Rattus norvegicus: one gene and its partner. The protein of the gene in region 1 purifies or fractionates together with the protein of each later gene. This does not show direct contact. Links are inferred from orthologs where the notes say so. Each region holds a gene or a part of one and is shown in the gene's direction. Other genes may lie near its edges. The genes, in order: Pabpc4 and Paip1.

Evidence for each region.
Region 2: the proteins of Pabpc4 (region 1) and Paip1 purify together in Homo sapiens (co-immunoprecipitation; 3 studies listed by BioGRID and IntAct, with this or other methods). This does not show direct contact. The link is inferred for Rattus norvegicus from reciprocal best matches to the Homo sapiens genes PABPC4 and PAIP1.

Annotation. Positions count from the first base shown.
Region 1 is NC_086023.1:140,857,832-140,868,248, forward strand, and holds the end of Pabpc4 (polyadenylate-binding protein 4), read left to right. Parts: intron 1-340; coding exon 341-436; intron 437-631; exon of another isoform or gene 632-764; intron 765-1,630; coding exon 1,631-1,903; intron 1,904-2,136; coding exon 2,137-2,224; intron 2,225-2,349; coding exon 2,350-2,421; coding exon of another isoform or gene 2,422-2,469; intron 2,470-2,897; coding exon 2,898-2,984; intron 2,985-3,079; coding exon 3,080-3,207; intron 3,208-4,786; coding exon 4,787-4,880; intron 4,881-4,965; coding exon 4,966-5,096; intron 5,097-5,366; coding exon 5,367-5,456; 3' UTR 5,457-5,463; intron 5,464-5,957; coding exon of another isoform or gene 5,958-5,975; 3' UTR 5,976-6,258; downstream 6,259-10,417.
Region 2 is NC_086020.1:53,252,303-53,263,998, forward strand, and holds the start of Paip1 (polyadenylate-binding protein-interacting protein 1), read left to right. Parts: upstream 1-4,184; 5' UTR 4,185-4,391; coding exon 4,392-4,419; coding exon of another isoform or gene 4,420-4,659; exon of another isoform or gene 4,660-4,797; intron 4,798-5,234; coding exon 5,235-5,404; intron 5,405-11,696. UniProt on the Homo sapiens protein: Acts as a coactivator in the regulation of translation initiation of poly(A)-containing mRNAs. Its stimulatory activity on translation is mediated via its action on PABPC1. Competes with PAIP2 for binding to PABPC1.

The DNA of each region.
Region 1 (10,417 bases):
GGTCTTGCTCTGTATCCTAGGCTGGCCTCAAACACTCAATAGTCCCTTGCCTTGGCCTCCTGAGTACAAGAAGGGTCACAGGCAAGAATTGTTTTTGGTTGGTAGGGTGGTTTTTGGTGAGACAGGGTTTGTTGTGTAGCCCTATCTGGCCTGGAACTCACTCTGTAGATCAGGCTGGCCTCAAACTCACAGATCCACCTGTCTCTGCCTCCCAAGTGCGGGATTAAAGGCATACACCAACCACTGCCTGACTTCAGGCAAGAGTTTTAACTTGACAGGTCCCCAAGTGTGTTGGGAAATAACTGTATAGAGATGTATTTAACAGTAATCCCCTCTCCAGGGAGTGAATCTCTACATTAAGAACTTGGATGACACCATTGACGATGAGAAGTTAAGGAAAGAGTTCTCACCCTTTGGATCAATCACCAGTGCGAAGGTAATAACGTGTGCTAGCATGGGTTTGGAAACAGTTTTTTCTGTCGTTGGGTCAATGGCGTTAGTTAATTGTGTTGGTGGTCCAGAGTACAATGTTCTAGCATGTTCCTCCTTGCTTCAGATATCTGGAGAAGGTTTGTGATTGTATGTGTTGTCTACTTGCACTGGGGCTTGGAGTCTGGCCCAGTTCCTCACAGCACTCAAATCTTTCCCAGGCCTGCTTGCTTGGTGCTGGTCTGGGGACAGGCAGTGCTATAGTAGAGCAGAGGAAATCCAGACGGGTCGTTTCCATCTGTCCTGGGGCCTGTCCCTACAACTCTGCCACACTTCCCCCCTTGAGAACAAGGTTTTAAAGGTTTAGTGGGCCTTTGACAGGAAAGTTTGGCTGGACAGCCAAGATCATGCGGGCATGGTCTGCAACGGGACCTTAGCACTTGGGGAGTGACACTGGTCGAGGTAGTGGCCTGACACTGCATATTGCTTGGTGGAGCACACAGCAGCTACCACACAAGGCCTTTAAGTTGTGAAAAGGGTTGAGTGGTGGCCAGGTAGGGTTTGGCCTTCTGTGTAAGGTGTTGGTATTGGTATCGGTTTTTCGTTGGTTGTATTTTCATACAGGGTCTTGCTATGTAGTCCTGGGTGATTAGAATTCACTATGTAAACCAGGCTGACCCAAAAACTCAGATCTGCTTGCCTCCTGGATGGCTGGCAAGATGGTGTATGCCACTATGCTCTGCTGTGGGTATTTTATTTAAACCTTTTGGGGTGCTGGCAAAAGAACCCTCCTTGCTTCAGATATCTGGAGGTTTGTGATGGGGGGTGGATAGCCCTGGCAAACATTTCCTGGTTCTTCTTGGTGTCACCCACTTAACTGGCCCTGTTGGTGTATGCCTCTGCAAAGCCATATACCTTTAAAGACCAGGCAGATGACAGGGCACTGTTCCATGGGTAGAAGACTGTTGACCTAGTAACACACTGACCTTGGAGGATTAAAGAGGCCAACACACAAGGCACAGGAAAGCAGTAACCCCTTCAGTAAAGAGAAAGACGTTAGAGGCTGGCTCTGCAGAGACTGTGATGTATTCAGAGTTAGTTGTCTTAGAGTGTGGGAACCAGGGCTCAGAGGGGCTGGTAAGACTGATTAGACTCTGTTTTCCTGTCCTGCCTCCCAGTGACATCCAGTCTCTTTCCGTAGGTGATGCTGGAAGACGGGAGAAGCAAAGGGTTTGGCTTTGTCTGTTTCTCCTCTCCTGAAGAGGCAACCAAAGCGGTCACGGAGATGAACGGACGCATTGTGGGCTCCAAGCCTCTGTACGTCGCCCTGGCCCAGAGGAAGGAGGAGCGGAAGGCTCACCTGACTAACCAGTATATGCAGCGTGTGGCAGGAATGAGAGCGCTCCCTGCCAACGCCATCTTAAATCAGTTCCAGCCTGCAGCTGGTGGCTACTTTGTGCCGGCAGTGCCACAGGTAGATCTGCTAGGCAATCTCGGCAGCTGAGGGAGGGGTGTTTGGGGACTAGTGTTGAAGTAAGAGAGATGAATTAACCTGTGGTTACATCGCCAATGAGGTGGAATAACTGTCCATTGACAGTCCTTCCACTTTTGAGTAGAATACTAAGTTAATCACCCAAATATTGACCCAGTGTCCGGGTGAGGGCAGTGGGTGCAGGTTCTTAAGACTTGGATTCTTTTCCCCTACAGGCCCAGGGAAGACCTCCATATTACACACCTAATCAATTAGCGCAAATGAGGCCTAATCCACGCTGGCAGCAAGGCGGGAGACCTCAAGGTAGGTAGCAGGAAGCAGAGCCTTGTTCCTCGGGCTATGCCTGTCCAGTAGTTCACCGGCTTCTCCTGCAACCCAGCACCTGGTCCATCCTGGCTGGTCCGTGCTGAGTGCCCTTGTCTCTTCAGGCTTCCAAGGAATGCCAAGTGCCCTGCGGCAATCTGGGCCTCGTCCAGCTCTTCGGCATCTGGCTCCAACTGGTAATGCTCCGGCCTCTCGTGGCCTTCCTACTACCGCTCAGAGAGTCGGTGAGCAAACTGGCCTGTAGGCGCATGGCCGGGGAGGGGGGATCCAGATGACTGGCTCTGATCTGCCCTGGCTTGGTCAGTCTGGGTCTCGTTTTTCCTGCATCCTTAGCTGTGTGCTTAGGTAGTTGCTTCTGCCTTCACGAGCAGTGACTGTGGGTCCTGGTGTGTTGGTCACTCTGAACACTGTCTGCTCAGCGGGTGTCATGTGAACGGTCACCCAGAAGTACTCTGTCTGGATGGATATACAGGCACCACGCTGTTGAGGGTGGAGGGACGAGGAGACTCTCATTCTAAATGTGCAAAGACGTCTGTGGTGTCCTTTGGCCCTGTGAGGGACATGTGTGGTCATGTGCTGGAGTTCTTCCATGGGACGTGGCCAGTTGGGCATCTGCTGTCAACACTGATGTGCATTTGCTGGTCTGTTGTAGGGTCTGAGTGCCCGGACCGCTTGGCTATGGACTTTGGTGGGGCTGGTGCCGCCCAGCAAGGGCTGACTGACAGCTGCCAGTCTGGAGGTGGTATTGGGTGCACACAGAAGGGGGAAAGCTGGGATTTTGACGGGCCTTTGCCCAGGCTGATGCGCTTTAATTACACTTGTTCTCTCCACAAGGCGTCCCTACGGCTGTGCCAAACCTTGCACCTCGTGCTACAGTCGCTGCTGCTGCTCCCAGGGCTGTGGCTCCATACAAGTATGCCTCCAATGTCCGCAGCCCTCACCCTGCCATTCAGCCGCTGCAGGTGAGGCACAACAGAGCTGTGAACTGTGAAGGGATTTGTCCTATTTCTGCTCCATTTTAAAGATGCCATGTTTTTTGATTCCTCTTAAGTGTTAACAGGTTCTTACGACACCTGTGCACGCTCAGCTCTTGCCTCTGGGTTACCTTCACATCTGGTGACCTAATTGATCCTTGGCTGTTTTACAGGCAGTTGGTAACCTCTAGCTTTTCTTCAGGCTAGGGACTGACAGCTCAGTGGGCAGCCCGTTAAAGGCGCAAGCTCAGACTTGGATCCCCTGAACCCATATGAAAAGGGGTGGGGAAGTGGACAGTGTGCTGTGTAAGCATGGAGACCTGAGTAGTTCAGGTCCCAAGCACACATGTAAGAGTTGGCATTGTGGGGCCAGAGAGAGATGATGGTTCTTGGATCTGCAGGCTGGCCAGGAGAGCCAGAGTGAGCTCTAGGTTCCACGAGAGACCGAGTCTTAGAGAAGACACCTGACAGTTCTCTGGCCTACGTCTGTGCACATGCCACATATACACACATAACACAGAAAAGGCTGGACAAGGTGAGAAATCTAAACAGGAATCCCTGAGGCCAACCTGGCCTGGCCTACTGGGCAGATTCCAGACCAGGGAGGGAGATGACTTCCTTAAGAAAGTGGTGGTGATGCCTGAGGAACCAGGCCCCAGGGTTGACCTCCCCTACATCGTCAAACACATATACAGAACACCCAACAGAAAGCTTCCCAGAATATTCAGAGGTTAAGGTGCCTAAGCTGTGACCTAAAGCATAGCCACTTTCAGAACTTGGTGGCAGTTTGCTATGACTGGGCCTCACCTGCCCAGACAACTTCAGGAGTAGAAGCTGCTTTGAATTATTCTTAATAATAGTCTCCCTTCTCATCATTCTCTCCAGTGGGGGTTTCTTGGAACTTGGTGCTAATTCACCTGTAACACCTTTTTATGGTTCTAGCAACACTGTTGCATATATTAATGATCCTCAAATAATTGCTAATATATTAAAAACACCTAGACCAAGCCCCAGTCCTGTAAAAGAAAAGGTTGAATTTACCAGGGTATTATTAGCATATCCCAGAATCCAGGTGCTGGGTCAGTAGAGACAAAAGGATTAGGAGTTAAAGGTCAGCACCTACTGAGGCCAGCCTGGGTTCGGAGAGGGTACACAGAAAACCCAAACATCCTGTACCGGGGGATAATGAAGTATGGTTAGGAATGTTTTGATTCTCACTCTTTGGCTCCTGCCTCTGTATGTACTGACAATAACGTAAGGGAGGCATTGAAGAGAAGTGCATAAATACTGTGAAGTACGCACGTGTAATCCCAGCCCTTGGCCCTTGGCAGCAAGGGGATCAAGGCCAGCCAAGACTACATGAAAATCACAAATTATGTCTCCCGGGGCCTGGTTTTGACTGCAGGGCCTTGTGTTGTGAGGCAGGTTTGTTGGTCAGCATCTTCCCCTTCCAATAGCTTACAGTACACAGCTAGCCAGCTTTGTCTTTGAGCACAGGACTGCCACCTCCGCTCCCTTTCACATAGTCTTCCTTAGTGCTAACCCCACTGCCTCTCCTGGTTCACAGGCCCCCCAGCCTGCAGTCCATGTCCAGGGTCAAGAACCCCTGACTGCCTCCATGCTGGCTGCAGCTCCTCCCCAGGAGCAGAAGCAGATGCTGGGTAAGTTCCATGCTTGGGAAAATGTCAGTCAGTTGGTGCTCACTGGGATTGGACACTTTTATGATGGCAACTGTTCTGCCCACAGGGGAGCGTTTGTTCCCACTTATCCAAACAATGCATTCAAACCTGGCTGGAAAAATTACAGGGATGCTGCTAGAAATCGACAACTCTGAGCTGCTCCACATGCTGGAGTCCCCCGAGTCCCTCCGTTCCAAGGTGAGCTGCCTTTCAAGACCCTGTGACATCACGGTTTAGCTTCAGGGAATGAGCTTGGGGGCCGTCCAGAGAGAAAGGTCTGTGGCCCCCATGGCCACCCATGTCTGATTTGAGCTACTGCTAAAGTTGTTGAAGAGATAGCACCAGGAGGAGCCCGCCTGGGGGATCTTCTACTCATTGACCACGTCTGTGTGCCAGGAGAGACAAGTGGGTCACTGAGCACCTGGGGTGGCTCCCCTCAGTCTCTGAACATCTGGGCGTCTTCCACAGGTGGATGAAGCTGTGGCAGTCCTGCAGGCTCATCATGCCAAGAAAGAAGCTGCCCAGAAGGTGGGCACTGTTGCTGCTGCTACCTCTTAAACCAGAAGTATGTTGACAGTTGACATTTTCTGCCTCTCTGGTGTTTCACATAGGGCCTTACTTAGCCTATGCCCCAGGATGATTCACTCAGCCTCCAGGATGCTGGGGGGCTACGTCCATGACTATGTCTGTAATCCCAGCTGTCCACGTTGGGGAGGCAGAGCCCTAGTACCCAGCTGCTCAGTCTGAGCAACCTAGAAGCACCTGATCACATGCTTGGCCACCACATAGAAATGAATAATCTCCTGGCCTGACATAGTGGCAGTCACATCATAAGACCTACCTGCATCTATGCATATCTTATACCTTGCTAGCTTGGCCTGAGGTGGGTGAGATTGTGTCCTGCCAAGCTGGGAGAGCAGTGTGCAGAGGGATATTGGTCTTGTAGGACTGGTACCTGAGAGGTGATGGACAGTTGAAGTCAGGGCGGGATGGGGCAGCTGATGCTGATGGAGTTCTTATAGCGGGCTGCTTATTTGTGTTGGTGCTGCTCTCTTTCAGGAGTCAAAAGCCAAATAACCCCTCACGGCATTCAGCTGAGGTCTGAAGACTTCCTAGTTTGTCTGTGGACCTCTTTCAAGAACCAAGTTACAAATTCAACAGGTCATTTTGTATCAAAAGGTCAATTATGAAGCACCTAGAATTTTTCAATTATAAGAATATATTCTCTGGGTTCTGTTGTGGCCCAGATGATGGTAACTTTTTTTTCTATTATGAGTTCTGTTTTTTTTCCCCTCTCCCAGAAATTGGTTTTGATGTACCCAAGACTTAAGTTTCTCAATAAAGGAAATAAAATCTCCAAGTCTGGCTGTTTTTATGTGTTGCCAATCAGTTTTATTCTATATCTTGGGCTTTTTTGCTAGAACTACTGTTAGTATTAAATGAATTTACTTTTTCCTTTTTAGGAGGATTGGGTAAGCAAGCATGCAGTAAGTTAATGTGTCACTGGGGTGGAGCTTGCCTGGCATGTGCCAGGCCCTGAGCTCATGGCTGACACCTATGGTCCTAGCTGGAGTCAGTAGGAGCTACAGGATAGTGAGACCCAGTTTGAAGTCAGCTCAGCCCAAGCCTGAAAAAATGAGCTGAATTGAGCCATCAGAATGCTCTGCATACCATGACAGTATACTTGAATGTAGAATGCTCAGACCAGCAAAGTCTAGGCCCCTCGGGATTGCTGCAAACCCTAGGGATCCCTAGTCAAAGCCTCCACTCTCTTCCTGGAGTAAAGTTTGTCTCCTGGAGTTACCTGCTCACGTCAGCAAGTGCAACAAGGCTTCAGCTCTGGGAAAATGCTCAGAAATCCTCTGATAATTCTGTCTTAACAGCCAAGCCTGCCTCCAGGCTATGGGTAGGTTCCCTTAAGAGTTCTCTCTTTAAGTAACTGGTCCAAAAACCCAAACTGGAGTCTTTTTTTTTTTCTTTTTTCTTTTTTCCGGAGCTGGGGCGCAAACCCAGGACCTTGCACTTCCTAGGCAAGCGCTCTACCACTGAGCTAAATCCCCAACCCCCAACTGGAGGCCTTTTCAAGTGTATGTGGATATTCATGGGTCCAAAGACTGTAGGAGCTGGAGGCTGGAGTAAGGGGCAGTTGAAGATTCTGACTCCTGCCTCAGGTCCTCTGCCCTGAGGCTGTAGCTAAGTTGCTAGTCTTAATGTGTAATAAAACAGCTCTAATATTTCTGGACACATCGAAACCACCTTAACTCCAGAGGATCTGAGTCCTGCCCTTGGGCACCTTCACTGGTGTGTACATAGAGTTAAAGCTTAAAGATGGGGGTTGGTAGAGTCACCTGGCCCTTGATTGACCTCTGTCAGTCCAATAGTACACACAGGCTACAAGCTGTTGGAAAGCAGGGATGTGTTGGGTGGGGTGCTTTGTAAAGGTGGTCAGGGTTCGGTTGCACTTCTACAAAGCAGGTTTTCCTGAGGAAGAAGTTGCACTTGTAGGACTGTCTGACCTGTAGCCTCCAAGGGTAGCATTTGTTTCTTTTCCCAACTTCCAAGGCTCATGCCACTCACACGTGGCCCAAAGGTCTTCAAACCCAGCAGTGGGCAGTTGAGTCTAGCAGAGTCTCTGAACCTGAGATTGGCGGCCTTCTGCCTGCCTACAGCCCCCAGCAGTTTTGGGTGCTTGTCACTGACTCCTGTAAGCTCAGCACTGAGATCTTTCTTCAGTCTGTGTAGCAGCTGCTCTAACTACTGAGCTTCCCCAGAGAACAGTTGAATATTCTTGTCTCCCTGGCCAGCATTTTCTTGTCGTTTTGCCGTGCTGACATTGAACTCTTAGGCGTATAGTTTCCTGTCTGTACATATGTGAAATCTGATTTTTGTATACACTTGTGTATATACCTGCATACATACATGTCCATAAAGGAGTTAAGACTCACTCAGCACTAGTTGAGAATTTTTAAATTTAATTTTTAAATTTTATTGTTACTTTCACTGAGTCACCCTGGCTGGCTTCAAACTCTCTGCCTCTTCCTGAGTTCTAGGATCAAAGGTGTGGGCAATGAAGCCTGATTTTAATATATTTCCTGAGAACAAGTACAAAATTTAGTACAGGCATAATCCTCCGAGACATGTATGTTCCGACTTTAGTGGGTTTTCTTTCCTAGCTGAGGGTTCACCAGCATAGGCACACCATTTTGCTGCATCTCTGATCCCCTTCATTTGAAGCTGTTTCCCAGGTTTCCATTGTCCTGGGTTTTTTTGTTTTGTTGTTTTGTTTTTGTTATTCTTTTTTTTTTTTTTTTTTTTTTTGGTTCTTTTTTTCAGAGCTGGGGACCGAACCCAGGGCCTTGCGCTTCCTAGGTAAGCGCTCTACCACTGAGCTAAATCCCCAGCCCCTGTTTTTGTTATTCTTTTAAAGATTTATTTATTATATATTTATTATATATCGGTACACTTCAGACACACCAGAAGAGGGCATCAGATCCCATTACAGATGGTTGTGAGCCACCATGTGGTTGCTGGGAATTGAACTCAGGACCTCTGGAAGAGCAGTCAGTGCTCTTAACCACTGAGCCATCTTTCCCACCCCTATCCTGTTTTTGTAAGGAAACAGGCTGTGTGTGTGGCTTAAACTGTGAGCTCAAGCAGGCAGGTAACTCCCTCCTGATTGTGTCTAAGACGGCATGCTCTGACGGGAACACCACGGACACCACAGAAGTGGCACAGTTTGTGTCGTTTGAGGAAGTGCATGGAGTGGACTCTGAAATATCTGCCATCACTTGGTCAAGGCAAAGTAATCGGGCTTCATTTTTGAGATTGTCTTTTCCCTCCCAGAGTCTCACTGTTGTAACCTGGAACTTGAGATTCTCCTGTCTCAGACTGTCTGAATGCTGAGACCACAAGGCCTACGTCATTATGTTTGGCTTTTAATTTTGTTATTGATATTGAGAGCATCTCACCCGCTTGCCCTGGCTGTCCTGGAACTCACTCTGTAGATCAGGCTAGCCTTGAACTCACAGATCCTGGGTGCTGAGATTAGAGGCATGTGCTATTACTGCCCCACCTTTTCATTTATTTTTTTAAAGGCTAACTTCCATCCGCTGGTAAAACCGGGCTAGAGAGCTGGCCCAGGGGTTCAGAGCACTCGTTGCACCTGGGACCTGGGTTTAATTCCCAGCACCCACACGGTGGGTCACATGTTCTGTGATTTCACTTCTAGGGTGTCTAATACTTTCTAACCTGTGGCACCAGTAACACAGGTGGTATGCAGATAGACGGAGGCAAAACGTCTGTCCACACACTTGAAAGTTCTAAAGGTTGAAAACCATGCCAAGAATTCTACATGAAATTGCTTCTCCCTCCAGCTCGTGGTAGACCTGCCTGTTTTCCATCACTGAAACAAAGTCCTGGACAGGAGTGACTGGGGAGGGAGGGGTCTCTGTTTCTCACTGCAGGGAAGGTATGTTAACAGTGCAGGCGCATCTGATTGACAGAACCAGGGGCAGCCATTACCTCAAAGGCCACCCCTAGTGACTCCGTATGGCTGAATCCTCATAAGCTAAAGATTCTCCCACCTCCCAAAACAGTGCTGTTAGCTGGGGTGTCTTAACCATGCAAACCACAATAACTGATCCTGGTAAATCCTTGGGTTTTGTTTTCTTTCTTTCCTTTTTTTTTTTTTTTAAATATTTTTAAATATTCTTTTCAAACTTTTTTTTCATTTATGTAGCAACTTCTGGAATTCAATCAACATCAGGTCTTGGCTTCCTTGTCTTTTCCTAGTCCATGGGTAGGCTGACCATCATTGACTCAGCCAGGGCCCTGTGCATGGCCTTGTAGGCAGTGTCTGTCACAATGCACACTTAGAGGTATGGTTTAGCCAGAACTCCTCCCCTGAGAAGCTCCCCATACCAAGTGGGATAGGATTCTAGTAGTTACCCAGTGAGTTTATCAGGCTTCCTTACAGAGCATGTGATGGGTTATTGACAGGAAGTGTCCTCAGACAGCCGCAATGGAGAACATACCATGGAGAATGGACCGATGGTTTCCCCACAGCCATCGAGCCATCGAGATGGAATGTCCCCCTCCCCTCCAATGACCTTCTCCAACTTGTTTACTCTAGGACTTCCTGAGACCCTCAGTCCACAAGCCACATGCAATTAGGGCAGAATTGCATACAAGTGGGGTGTGTGTGTGTGTGTGTGTGTGTGTGTGTGTGTGTGTGTGTGTGTGTGTATCTCGATGAAGGTACCCTTGCAATGAATAATCTTCCAATCCCCTCCAGATTGAAGGTGATTGGTTCTTATAGCTGATCTGATAAATCAGATGAAGGTTGTAAAGCATCCTACAGCAGTCTTCGAGGTAAATTCCTAGAATTACTGGGTCAAATTTTACTGTAAAGACACAGGCTAGAGTGGCGCATGTTTTTTTTTTTTTTTTTTTTTTTTTTTTGTTCTTTTTTTCGGAGCTGGGGACCGAACCCAGGGCCTTGCGCTTCCTAGGCAAGGTGG
Region 2 (11,696 bases), on another chromosome or scaffold:
CAGAACCCTTCTGTCTCCATGTCCCTCAGTGCTGCAGTCCAATCTTCCCATTCTCGTGCACGAGTAGGAAGCACCTTTAACCAGTTAGCCATCAGTTCCATCTTGCATTATTTTTCTTGTGGGGGTGGGGAGATAGATCTGGCTATGCTTCTTTCCTGCTGGTTTTCTCAGCAGACATTCTATATTCTTGGCATCTCCTGCTTCCTGGGGTCTCCATCACATTGGCTTCAAAATAGCTCTCTCAAGTTCTACTTACAGGAATACTGATTGATCCTGCCACACATAGCCTGATTTCCCCTTTGAAATAGGAGTGTAAACTATTGGGAAGATTGGTTTTTGTTTTTGCATTTTGCCTTTTTTGGGGAGGATTGGTTTTTGTTCTTGGATTTTGCCCTTTTTTGGTAAGTGGGTAATGAAACGTCGTTAGTTTTAATTTGCAGTAACTAGTGGTTAATTGAGAAGTTTTCATGAACGTAAGTGCTCTCTGTATAGTCTCTTCTATTAATGTGATATTTCCATTCTCTAACTGGATTTTTTTTTTTAGTTGGCTTATGACAATTCTTCCTATTTTCTGCTTACATGTCTTTTGTCGGATATGGGCCATGCAAATATTTCCTCCTTCGTAGTTATGAAAATGTTCTCATTAGCTGGCCTTGACAGGTTCTCTGAGGCAGTGGGAGCCAGCACTGGAAACAGTCTTCATTACTGTCACTGTAACGGTGACTTTTGGTGTGGGGAGTCTACTGTAAATTAATAGTTACAGTTTGAAGACTGTGTGGACCAAGAACTGGGTTAGAACCTACAACAGTGCTTCTCAACTTCCCTAATGCTTCCACCCTTTAGCATAGTTCCTCATGCCACCCAGATGTGGTGGTACACACCTTTAATTCTAGAACTCAGGGGGCAGAGGCAGACAGATCTCTGAGTTCGAAGCCAGCTTGGTCTACAGAGTAAGTTCCAGGACAGCCTGGACTATACAGAGAAACCTTATCTTGAAAAACCAAACCAATCAAAAACAAACAAACAAAAAACCAAAAAAAACCCTCCCTCATATTGTGCTGACCCCCTAACCATAAAATTATTTTGTTGCTACTTCATAACTGTAATTTTGCTATTGTTATGAATTATAATGCAAATGCAATGTAAATATATGATATGCAGGATATCTTATATGCAATCTCTGTGCATTTGACCTCAAAGAGGTTTGAACCAAAGGTTGAGAACCGCTGACCTAGAAGTACCAATAAGGCACCACCTGCCTTCAAAGGGTAATTTCAGTAGAGAAATAGTTTAAAATTTTTTTCTAGTAATCTGACATGCAAGGTACCATGACGGTATCCTCTCAGAGCACAACCATGTCAAGGGAAAATCTAGGCAGCTTAAGGAAGTATTCCTGAAGAGCACCATCTAAGATAACTTAGAGGAAACTCTTTGTCCTAGTTAGTGGCATGTCCTCTTTCTGATAGTGTACACCACACTTCCCATCTTCTCTGAATGGAATCCGGCAAACCCTTTTTGCCACCAATCAATAAGCAATGCACAAATGGAGAAGAAGAGCTTTTCTAGTGATCTTCAGTGAGCCCTTCATGGCTCTTATATGTCCTAAAGTGGCCTTTTACTGTAGTACCCAGAAGTCCAGCATTACAACAGTCCCTAGAAGGATCTGAGTTTCTCTAATAATCCTGGCATATGCCCCACAGGATATGAGAACTTATATAAATAAAACTGAGGCAGATACAGATTAATAATAATTATCATTCACTGCTGGTTTGCAATAAATCCTGGTTTGCAAATCACAAATTAAATCCATTCATGTTGTCCCTACTCCATCTCTCATATGTCCAAGCATAGAGCTAAAATTACACAACAGGGAACGGGAGGTGGCCTAGGGTGTTTGAGTTAACTCCTCTGGTTCAAGGAGCTTATAAATATTCCCTGGTATCAGCATGGATATTTACCCAGTAAAGTCTCCATGTTAGAAAAGGTGATTATCCACTGTGAAACCTTTAACCGGAGATCCGGTAGATCAATTGCAGGGACAAGCTTAGCATCCACAAGGCCCTGTGTTCAATTTTAGTACCTTCCCCACAAGCCCCCCACCAAAACCAAAACAAAACAAAAAAGTGTTAGAAGAAAACAAAAGGGCAGTCACCAAAAGCCTGCCACAGATGCGGTACAACTGCATCAGTAAGAACACTGAGGATATGCTATCTCACTTCCAGATTTTTAACAGTTTTGGGTCCTTTCTGCGTAGGAAAGAAGGTCAAGCAAGATGTAACCGCTGAGCCAGGCGCTGATGCTCGAAATCACCACACCTGGGAGGAGGAGGCAGGTGGAGCCTGTTCAAAGTTGGCCTCAGCTCCATTGAAGCCGACCTGAACTACAGGCTTCAGTCTCAAGAAATGATCTGGCTTCTAGTGGAGGTGGAGGTGGATGAAGGTGAGAATATGGGGGTTTGGTGGGAGGTGGGAAGGACTCCTTTACCTTTAAGGGGCTGGCCACCAGGGCTTTGGCCATGCTTCAGTGAGTATCTGAGCCACACCAATTGAACTTTTTTTTTCTTTGTCTTATCTTTGGTGAGGGTACAAGAGTGGAGGATGGGCATGAGAAGAATGGAAATCAAGTTGGATCGGGGTGCACTGCATGAAATTCCCAAATAATTAATAATTACCTTGAGAAATTTTTTTAAATGTCAAACAAAAATAAATGACTGCTGCCCATAGTCAGAGACATTTTAGAATGCCAACAGCATCGTCTCTATCCACTTTTAAACGGAAATCTTGTACAATATTAATCAAGAGCACAAATCATCTACTGATGCTTGCCTCAATAAAACCCATATTTTCTTGTTGATTTACTTGAAGGAGTGTTTCACATGGTTAATAAAAATGGTTAATATGGACATTTTGGTTCTATTTGAAATGATACTGTAGATAAAACTTGGAAAACCATTAAGCCCTCCTTAAATCACAGAGTTAAACTCAGAATTCTGGAGATGGCTCAATGCAACAGTAAGGGCATCTATTTTTTCCTTTTTCATTATTTACATTCACCTTCCACTTGGCATTAGCACCATCAGCCCTGACAAAAACAATTTACAGATAATTACTGGAATTGTGTTGTGCAATACTGCAGCCAGTAACTACACGTAGCTCTGGAACATTCTAAATGTGCCTGATTCCCAATGAGAAATGCTTTGAGTGTAAAATACACATTAGCCTTCAACTAATTTTCAAAGAGAGAGGCTATGCTATTCACATTTAACATTAATTACAGGTTACAACGATACCATCTGAGCATATAGGAGTAAGGATATTAAAATTAATTTCACCTGCCTTTTCTTTAAGGCGGCTTCTGCACATTGACAATTAAGTGGTTTGCAATTTTTGCTCATGAACTTTATTGGACAGCGAGTGTGGAAGATGCAAGAGGGAAGAAGCAGACGTGCAATGGAAGGTAGTGTAATTTTTCTAAGAAGTTCCTGGAGGGAAGACACAAGGGCAGCGGAAGAGGCTTGGTGGACGTGACCTAGTGTGTGTGATAACACCTAGTGGGAACTGGAAGGCGGGCGCGGTTGCGTTCTGTTTGCACTCCCTTTCTCCGCAGACAACCGGGCAGAGGGAGGGCTGCGTCCCGGGCCCCCTTCGCCGCCAGGCCTCGGGGTTCGGCCGGAGCGCTATCGCTGAACACACCTGCGCGCCCACTGAGGTGCGCGTCGGCGAACCCTGGCGCTGCGCCCACGCCCCCTCCCCCCGGATTATTTTCCTGGCACCAACCGTCAGTCTCGCACTTTTCACCAGAGGAACCAGCGGGGAGGTCGGAGTCGCCCGGTAAGCGTCCCCCGAACTATCCCTCAGCCCGACCCCGGGAGCCTAGACCGCCGAACGCGTCCGTCAGCGGAGCCGCCTCCTGGCCCGGACGTCGCTCGTCCAAGCGGCCGGGTGAAGCCGCGGCTGCCCGCCCGCCAGCCAGCCTGCCTGCCCGCCCGCCCGCCCGCCGGCCCGCCAGCCCGCCAGCCAGCCAGCCAGCCAGCCAGCCATCCGCGAACGCGAGCGACCGTCGCCAGCCGGCGGGAGGGCAGCCGCGCCCCGGGCCTCCGGGCCGCGGGGGGCCGCTGTGACCCGTCTCGGCCCCACTGCGCCGCGGGCGGGCAAGTGGGCGGGAGGGGGAAGTGGGGCTTAAGGGAGAGCGTCCGCCAGCCGAAGGGAGCTGGGGAGGCGGGCGCTGTGCTGCGGCGCGTCGGCGGGGGCCCGGAGCGCGGAGGACCGAGCAGGGCCCGCCGGCCTCCTCCATGAGGCCTGAGTGAGGCACAGCGGTGACAGGCGGCCCGCGGCGCCTCCCGCGCGTCCTATTCGGAGCAGCGGCGGCGGCCCCGTTGGAGAGCAAGGAGCATGTCGGACAGTTTCGATCGGGCTCCAGGTGCTGGTCGGGGCCGGAGCCGGGGCCTGGGCCGCGGAGGGGGCGGGCCTGAGGGCGGCGGGTTCCCGAACGGAGCGGGGCCTGCGGAGCGGTCGCAGCACCAGCCACCGCCGCAGCCCAAAGCCCCGGGCTTCCTGCAGCCGCCGCCGCTGCGCCAGCCCAGGACCGCCCCGCCGCCAGGGGCCCAGAGTGAGGCCCCCGCCGGCTCCGCGCGGCCTCCCCGGCCTGGGGCGCTCCCAGGTACGGAGCAGCTCGAGGGGCCCCGGTGCTCCTGGGCCAGCTTTCCCCCGCGGGCCTTCGCGCACGCCGAGCTCCGGCGCGCCGAATCCGCCCCCCGGTTCTCCGAAAGCATTCCCCGAGGGGCCCGCTCGGCACGGGGTAGGGACTAGCCAGGAACTGGGTTTGGAAGGAGGTGGTGGCTGGAATCCTTTGTGCGCTCCGGCTGGGGGAGGGGCCCGGGCCGGGTGCTTAGTCTGGCGTCCCGGGAGGAAGTCAGAATCGCCTACCTCTCTCTAGTGAACCCGGGGCCCCAGGCGAGCATCACACTTCTTAACCAACTCCTTACTAGAGAGGGAAGGGGTGGGAAAAGCCCTCGAACTTTCGATTTGCAGGCAGGTATGTGCACTCACGAACCAAAGCAAGGCTATTGTTCCATTTTGCAAGCTCTTTTGTACGACTCTTAACGATCTTACGTTTTGTATTTAACTCCTAAAATCCGGAAGTTCTCAGACGGTTTCTAAATCTGTAGTAAGTTGCTATATACAAAGGAATGAATACATCTAGCACTGCTTTTTCTTTTCCTTTTTCTTTCTCAGAACAAACGAGGCCCCAGAGAGCTCCACCTAGTTCACAGGATAAAATCCCACAGCAGAACTCGGAGTCAGCAATGGCTAAGCCCCAGGTGGTTGTAGCTCCTGTGCTAATGTCTAAGCTGTCTGCGAACGCCCCCGAATTTTACCCATCAGGTTATTCTTCTAATTATACAGTGAGTACATTTTTTTTAAACCTCCTACAACTCTTGTGTAAAACTATTGGAATAAAGTGGTTATTCTCGCTAGAGTATGCTGGCTGCTTTCTGTACTACACACAGAAATATCTTACTCAGCGAAGTCATGATTTAGGAATATAATTTGCAGTTATGTATGAGATATTGGCGTGTAAGCTTGTGAATGGGAATTCTTGCTGGCTCGTTTCACTGTTGTGTTCCTAGTACTTAAAAAGAATATATAAAATAACCTGGTATGAAAAGCCCACTGTCAAACATTTTCAATTTGTAAAACTAAAATCCACTTCTGAACCTTCTAGATAACCTGTACAGTGAGCAGTCAGGAAAGCTTCCTTTAAATTGATTTTAGTCACGTTGCAGAAAATTCTTTGGTGTGGCCTTTGAAGTAAATTAAATAGCGTTTTGCTGTAGATATTCTTATGAATATTGAGAAACACATCTCGGCTCTTTATTTCTAGAGCAAGTTTTGTCCATTATGTTAAAACAATTTTTTGTTGCAGGTTACATGTTATATACAGAAATATTGTAAATCTTTGATTGATTGGGTTTTGTTGTCTTTATTTTGTTGTTGTTGTTGTTTTTGATTGAGGCAGGCAAGGCAGTTGTCCTGCTCAGCCTTCCAAATCTGGGATTACAGGTATAACTTCACCATGCTTAATATGTAAGCGATTTTGGCAAAGCATCTACATAAGTATACTATACATAGGTATAAAGAACTTTCTGCACTTTTTTAATCTTTGTCAATAATGCAGCAAATCTTAATTGGTCCTTGTTTTCATATTAGTAGGACGCATAATGTATGGTTAAAATGTATAGGAAGAAACTCATTGTGCTTACTAAATTCAAAATAGTCAATGCAGAGAGATTAGCATTAGAGAAGGGAGGCATGACAGTGGTGAATTAAAGATGATTGGTAATACCTCAGCTAGAAGTCTCTCAGTCTCTTCAGTTTACTGGATAATAGAATGAACAAGGCTCAGCTCACAGTTAACCACTCAAGACAACTCTGACAAGCAAACAGAAAAGTATCAACATACAATAAGCCCCATTCATCCCTAAAATTATCACTCATGCCCAAAGGTAACCACTGAGCTTTGTTTTGTTTTCTTTAGATAGTTTTGATTTGTATTACTAATTATCCTTGAGCTTGATAACCTCTCACCTCACCTCTCCTCTGCTGCCCTGTTCCCAGTGTTTGGGTGTGAGTACTGACTCACCATTTTGACATACAAAGTATTTTTTCAAAGCTTACATAAATGAAGTTTTTTAGATTGTTCTAGCTCTACATCTAAATTTATATTGTAACATAATTTGAGATAATTTATTCACATCACTTGACTGTATCAGGGTTCCATTTGTTCCTTTATCAATGGATAATTTCTACTTTGGGGCTATTGTGCTGAATCTTGTCTATGTCCTGACTGATATATGCCTTTATTTCTGCTTGGTTTGTAAAAGAAGAATTATAGTAGCCAACCTTAATAGAATCAGCCATCGTCTCTAAGACCTTCCCAGTCTACATTCCTCACAGTGTCTGATTTGCTACTTGCTGCTCTTTCTAGTCAGAACTTGGTATTTTCTGTTTAGCCATCCCAGTAGTTATGGTTTCTTAAAATTAATGACTGCATACCTTCTGTAATCTGTATTTGGTTCTCCTCATGTTTGATCAGTGTGGAAACTCTGAATTTTGTAGAAATAGAAGTTCCATTCATCTTTTAGCTTTGGGATTAGACAGGAGACAGTATGAATATGGCCGGAAGAGCAGTCGATTTGGTGAAGAAAGCCATTGTCATGAAAAGTAAATAGGAGTAGCTTGGCGTGTTGTCAAAGTTGTATTTGGCTCAGAAATGGAAGGAACCATTAAAGAGCTTGAGTAGTTGAATAAACTCCTTGAGAATGTTTACTTTTTAGCAGCCAAAACCAGTTACCCGTTCATTTTCCTTCCTGTTGCCGTGAACTATTTTATTTTATCATGGGAGGAATACAGGTTTGTTGTTGTTGTTTTTCATTTCAAAGTCCTGAATAAAATTCAAATGACCCTTCAATTATAAGTATATTTGTTTGTGGTTATGTACAAGTGAGTGCATTTGTCTGAGCAGACCAGAGAAAGAATCGGATCTCTTTGGAGATGGATTTACAAGATGGTTGTGAGTAGCCAGTGGATGCTAGGAAAGGAACTGGGTCTTTACACATGCCCTTTTTTTTTTCCTTCCTTAATGACGTATGTGTATGTGTATTAGTGTTTGACCTGCATGTATGTTTGTGTGAAGGTGCTGGGTCCTCTGGAACTGGAATTATGTATGACAACTGTGAACCGCCATGTGGATGTTTGAAATTGAACTCCAGTCTCAGGAAGAGCAGCCAGTACTCTTAACCACTGAGCAATCCCTCCAATCCCGTGTTATATCCTCTTAACCACCAAGCCATCTTCTCTACCCCTCCACCACTTCCTTTGAATCAGTGTTGTATTTTAGGAATTCTTTCGTTTATTTATTAGTGTAACAATTTCTCTATTCAGTGTACCAAAACAAATTAAGGACTAGAAGCTTCTTTGGCCCTGTCTGACCTTTTGTTTTAAAGATTGTTTTAATTAGTTGACAAAATTTAAATTGGATATTGAAAAGTCTATATTTCCTAATTTCTGTTCAGTCCATAATGGACTGGAATTCTGAAAGCAAAATTGGTTGAAGCATAAGAGCATTAATTAACAGTTTCTTCCCTGAATGACTCTTGTGTTGTAATTCTTATGAATTTCATGGGTAAGTGCTTGGGCTTTTGCTGCTATGCCCCAGTACATTTTCTCAACTTTACTAGTTCACATGAGTGTTTACTCATAGTCCAGGTTAAATGTTTTTTAGTCCATTTAGTGCAGAACAAGAGAATCCTCATTAGCCCCAACTTTTCATATAAGTTCCTATAAGGAAATCTTTTCTGTATAATAGCCATGTCCCAAAGTAAGCTAGATTCACACATTCCACACATAGTTCAATACTTATGCTGGGTCAGCAATAGTCATATAGTACAAAGCAGAGAAAACTGTCTTGTTGTTGTTGAGTGTACTTTTTTTTTTGATTTGTGAATGAGTAAAGACACTGTTGCTGTCTTCAGACACAGCAGAAGAGGGCATCCAATCCCATTACAGAGGGTTGTGAGCCACCATGTGGTTGCTGGGAATTGAACTCAGGACCTCTGTAAGAGCAATCAGTGCTCTTAACCACTGAGCCATCTCAGCGTAAAAAAACTGTCTTTATGGAAGTTCTTTTCTAGAAATCTTCCTGTTTCCAGAAATCCCTTGAGTCTGTTCTTTATACATAATTGGTTCAGTGAGATGGCCCTGCAGGTAAAGTGATTTGCTGCCAAGCTGATGACCTAAGTTCAGTTCCTGGGACCCACATGATGAAGAGAACCAACTCTCACAAGTTGTCCTCTGCCTTCCGTGCATAGACAGACCCACAAATGTGCACACATGCATGCACACAGAAAACCTTTATGGTGGTTTCTGCTGTGCCTTTTAGGTTCCTTCACAACTATGTGTGCTCTTAATCTTCATTCCTTCTCACTCTGCTGCTAGAATTTCCTCCTTTTCATATTGTCTTAGCAAGTTACTGTATCCATCTCTTCATGGTTGCTTCTTAGACAAATTAATATGACCATGAATATTTAATCATAGGTTACTTACTGGTAAAAGGTTCCATATAGGATCTCATCAAGCCCTTGTTAAGAGATGAAAATGTTAGTGTCTTACTATACCATCAGCAACAAAAAAAAGCTTTTTTCCTAAAAGTATCTTCCTTCAAGTTACTGCTGCCTTTTTTTCTCTTAAAAATTGTCATCGGTACTCTGTGATGCTCAGTGAATGCATGTCTCTGCAGTTGATCCCTCTAGGTATGTCGATGCTATTTTTATGACTGTAAATGATACTCCTCTGTTTTTTAAATATGTAGTCATCTTAACCTGCCTTTATTTTAGGCCCCAACACAATATAATCTGTTTAGTTTAAAAGACTATGCTGTGTCCTATGGTATATGTCAGTTACCTTTTGTGATCTTTAATAAAATCTCTTATAATTATACTAGAACTACATATTTAATATTACTAGTTTTGTTCTGTCTTTGTGTATAATCATCTTTATTTCTAAGACTGCAGCTAACATTCTCTTTCAGATTTTAACCTATGAACCTGACACCGATCATCACTTTTCCTTACTCAGCTGCCCTTTGATTTCTGAGTTGATATTTCTCTATCCTCCTCCTCCTCAGACCACAGCCTCTAATGTTTTTCCATTTTATTACCTCCTTTGTGAATCCTGCCTCCTCCCAAATTCTGATACTTACTTTCTCGTGTATGAATAACCGTCAAATCTCATTCTTTAGAACTCCAGACTTTGTAGCTTGATCTTTTTCTTAACTTCATAAGGATCTCATATTTAAATTAAAGTGTAAAATAATTATCTTACATAGTTTTTTTCCTAATAGGGTTTGGGCAGGAACTTGGTTGTGTTGACTCAGCCCCCATCCTTTTCGGGGTTCATCCAGCTGATGACCTAAGTAGTCTGAGTTACTCCAGAGTCTCCGTCTCTGCTCAGGTCCCTCTCCCAGTGCCTGGGATTAGGACCTCTTGACATTGCAGTACGTAGTGACTACCTTCATTAAAGGTACATTTGTAAACTAGTGGTCCCTTATAATCTCCTGCGTAGAACTCTAAGAAAAAAGCTTGAAAAAATACTCTTCAACTGATAAGTTGGTTGTCTCCATGATGAAGACAGAAGAAGTCCTTGAAAGGTGAGGGGCTAGAGAAGCAGTGCAGGCCTCGACTCAAGCCCAGGTGGGATGCCTCTGTTCAGAACTCTCTGTACAACGGCAGACCTAGGTCTCTCCTCTATTCTGTATTCAGAACAGCTTTGTTTTACTTACCAGACTTGAATTCTATTTTAGAGAGTTCTGTTGACTTTATATAAAGCTGAAATTGGACACTGTAAACTGTGCTTTTGTTGCAGTGAATGACATTTGATAGAAAATATCAGCTGCTGTCTTTAGACTCCTTGTCATTATATTAAGATTCTTTTAACTCTCCAAAACTGACCATGTCCACCAAAACCTTATTAATTCTGAAATACTGAGATAGGTAATATACATGTTAATATGTTTTATGCTTAACTGCTTCACAACTTTTCAATAAAGAGGAAGTATTAATAATATGAACAATGTTTTCATTCCAGATGTGTTGTTAAATTGTTTAGCTTTGCTGAAATGTTGATGGGTCTGTACAAATAAGTCCCTTTCTTAAAAAAAAAAAATTATATATGCTCTTTTCATTTAACAGATTATCTTGTGACTGTTTCTGGAAGGATGGAAATGTATATCCTGCCATATATATAATATAAGTTATATGTTAGATATATAAATTCTGCCTTGTTTTCTTAAGTGGCTATATGAAAGCACACCATATAAATGTAATTTAACCAATATCTTGCTTATAGATTTTGTTTGTTACCAAGAAACATATCTTAACACTTATAAAGTGTCAAATTTGTGTTCTAATATGTAGTTATTTTGAGAATAGTGTAGGATATAAAAGTACAATTTTTAGTTAGCTTTGTTATCATACACAAATTATTCAAGTTGTGTGCAGCTTTGCTTTGTATAACCACACACACACACACACACACACACACACACACACACACACACGCACTGCATTTAATTAGCCTCCTTATTCTACCCCCTAAAACCAAGCAGGATCTAACTAACTCTTAACAGCCACCATCCCTTCCTCAGTCCTCTGCATTAGCTATTGATTTTGTTCCTCAAAAGTGTCAAGCCAAGTCTCTCCCTCTTTGGAACCAACATTCTGCATCTGCCCCTGCATAGGTTATCTTTCCACCGATTTCTGACAAGTTGGGAAGGGATTTTGTTTGCACTTTTAGTCAGTTCAGGTGTTCCTACTTTAACATTTTTAGTAATCTGTTTTGTTTTGTATGTATGGATGTTGTGTGAACAAGTAATATGTGTGGACCATATGCATGCCTGGTGGCTGCAGAGGTCAGAAGAAGGCATTGGATCCTCTGTAACAGAGGTAAAGAGGTGGTTATTATGATCTACCATATGGGTGCTGGGAACTAAACCCACATCCTCAACAACAGCAACAAGTGCTCTTAACCACTAAGCTTTTGTCTACCTGCTTCCAGATATTATCTGTCAAGACTGTCTGGCCATGTTTTCCATAATTACCTCCATATCTGAATGCACCTTACATCGTGGGATTATGAGAA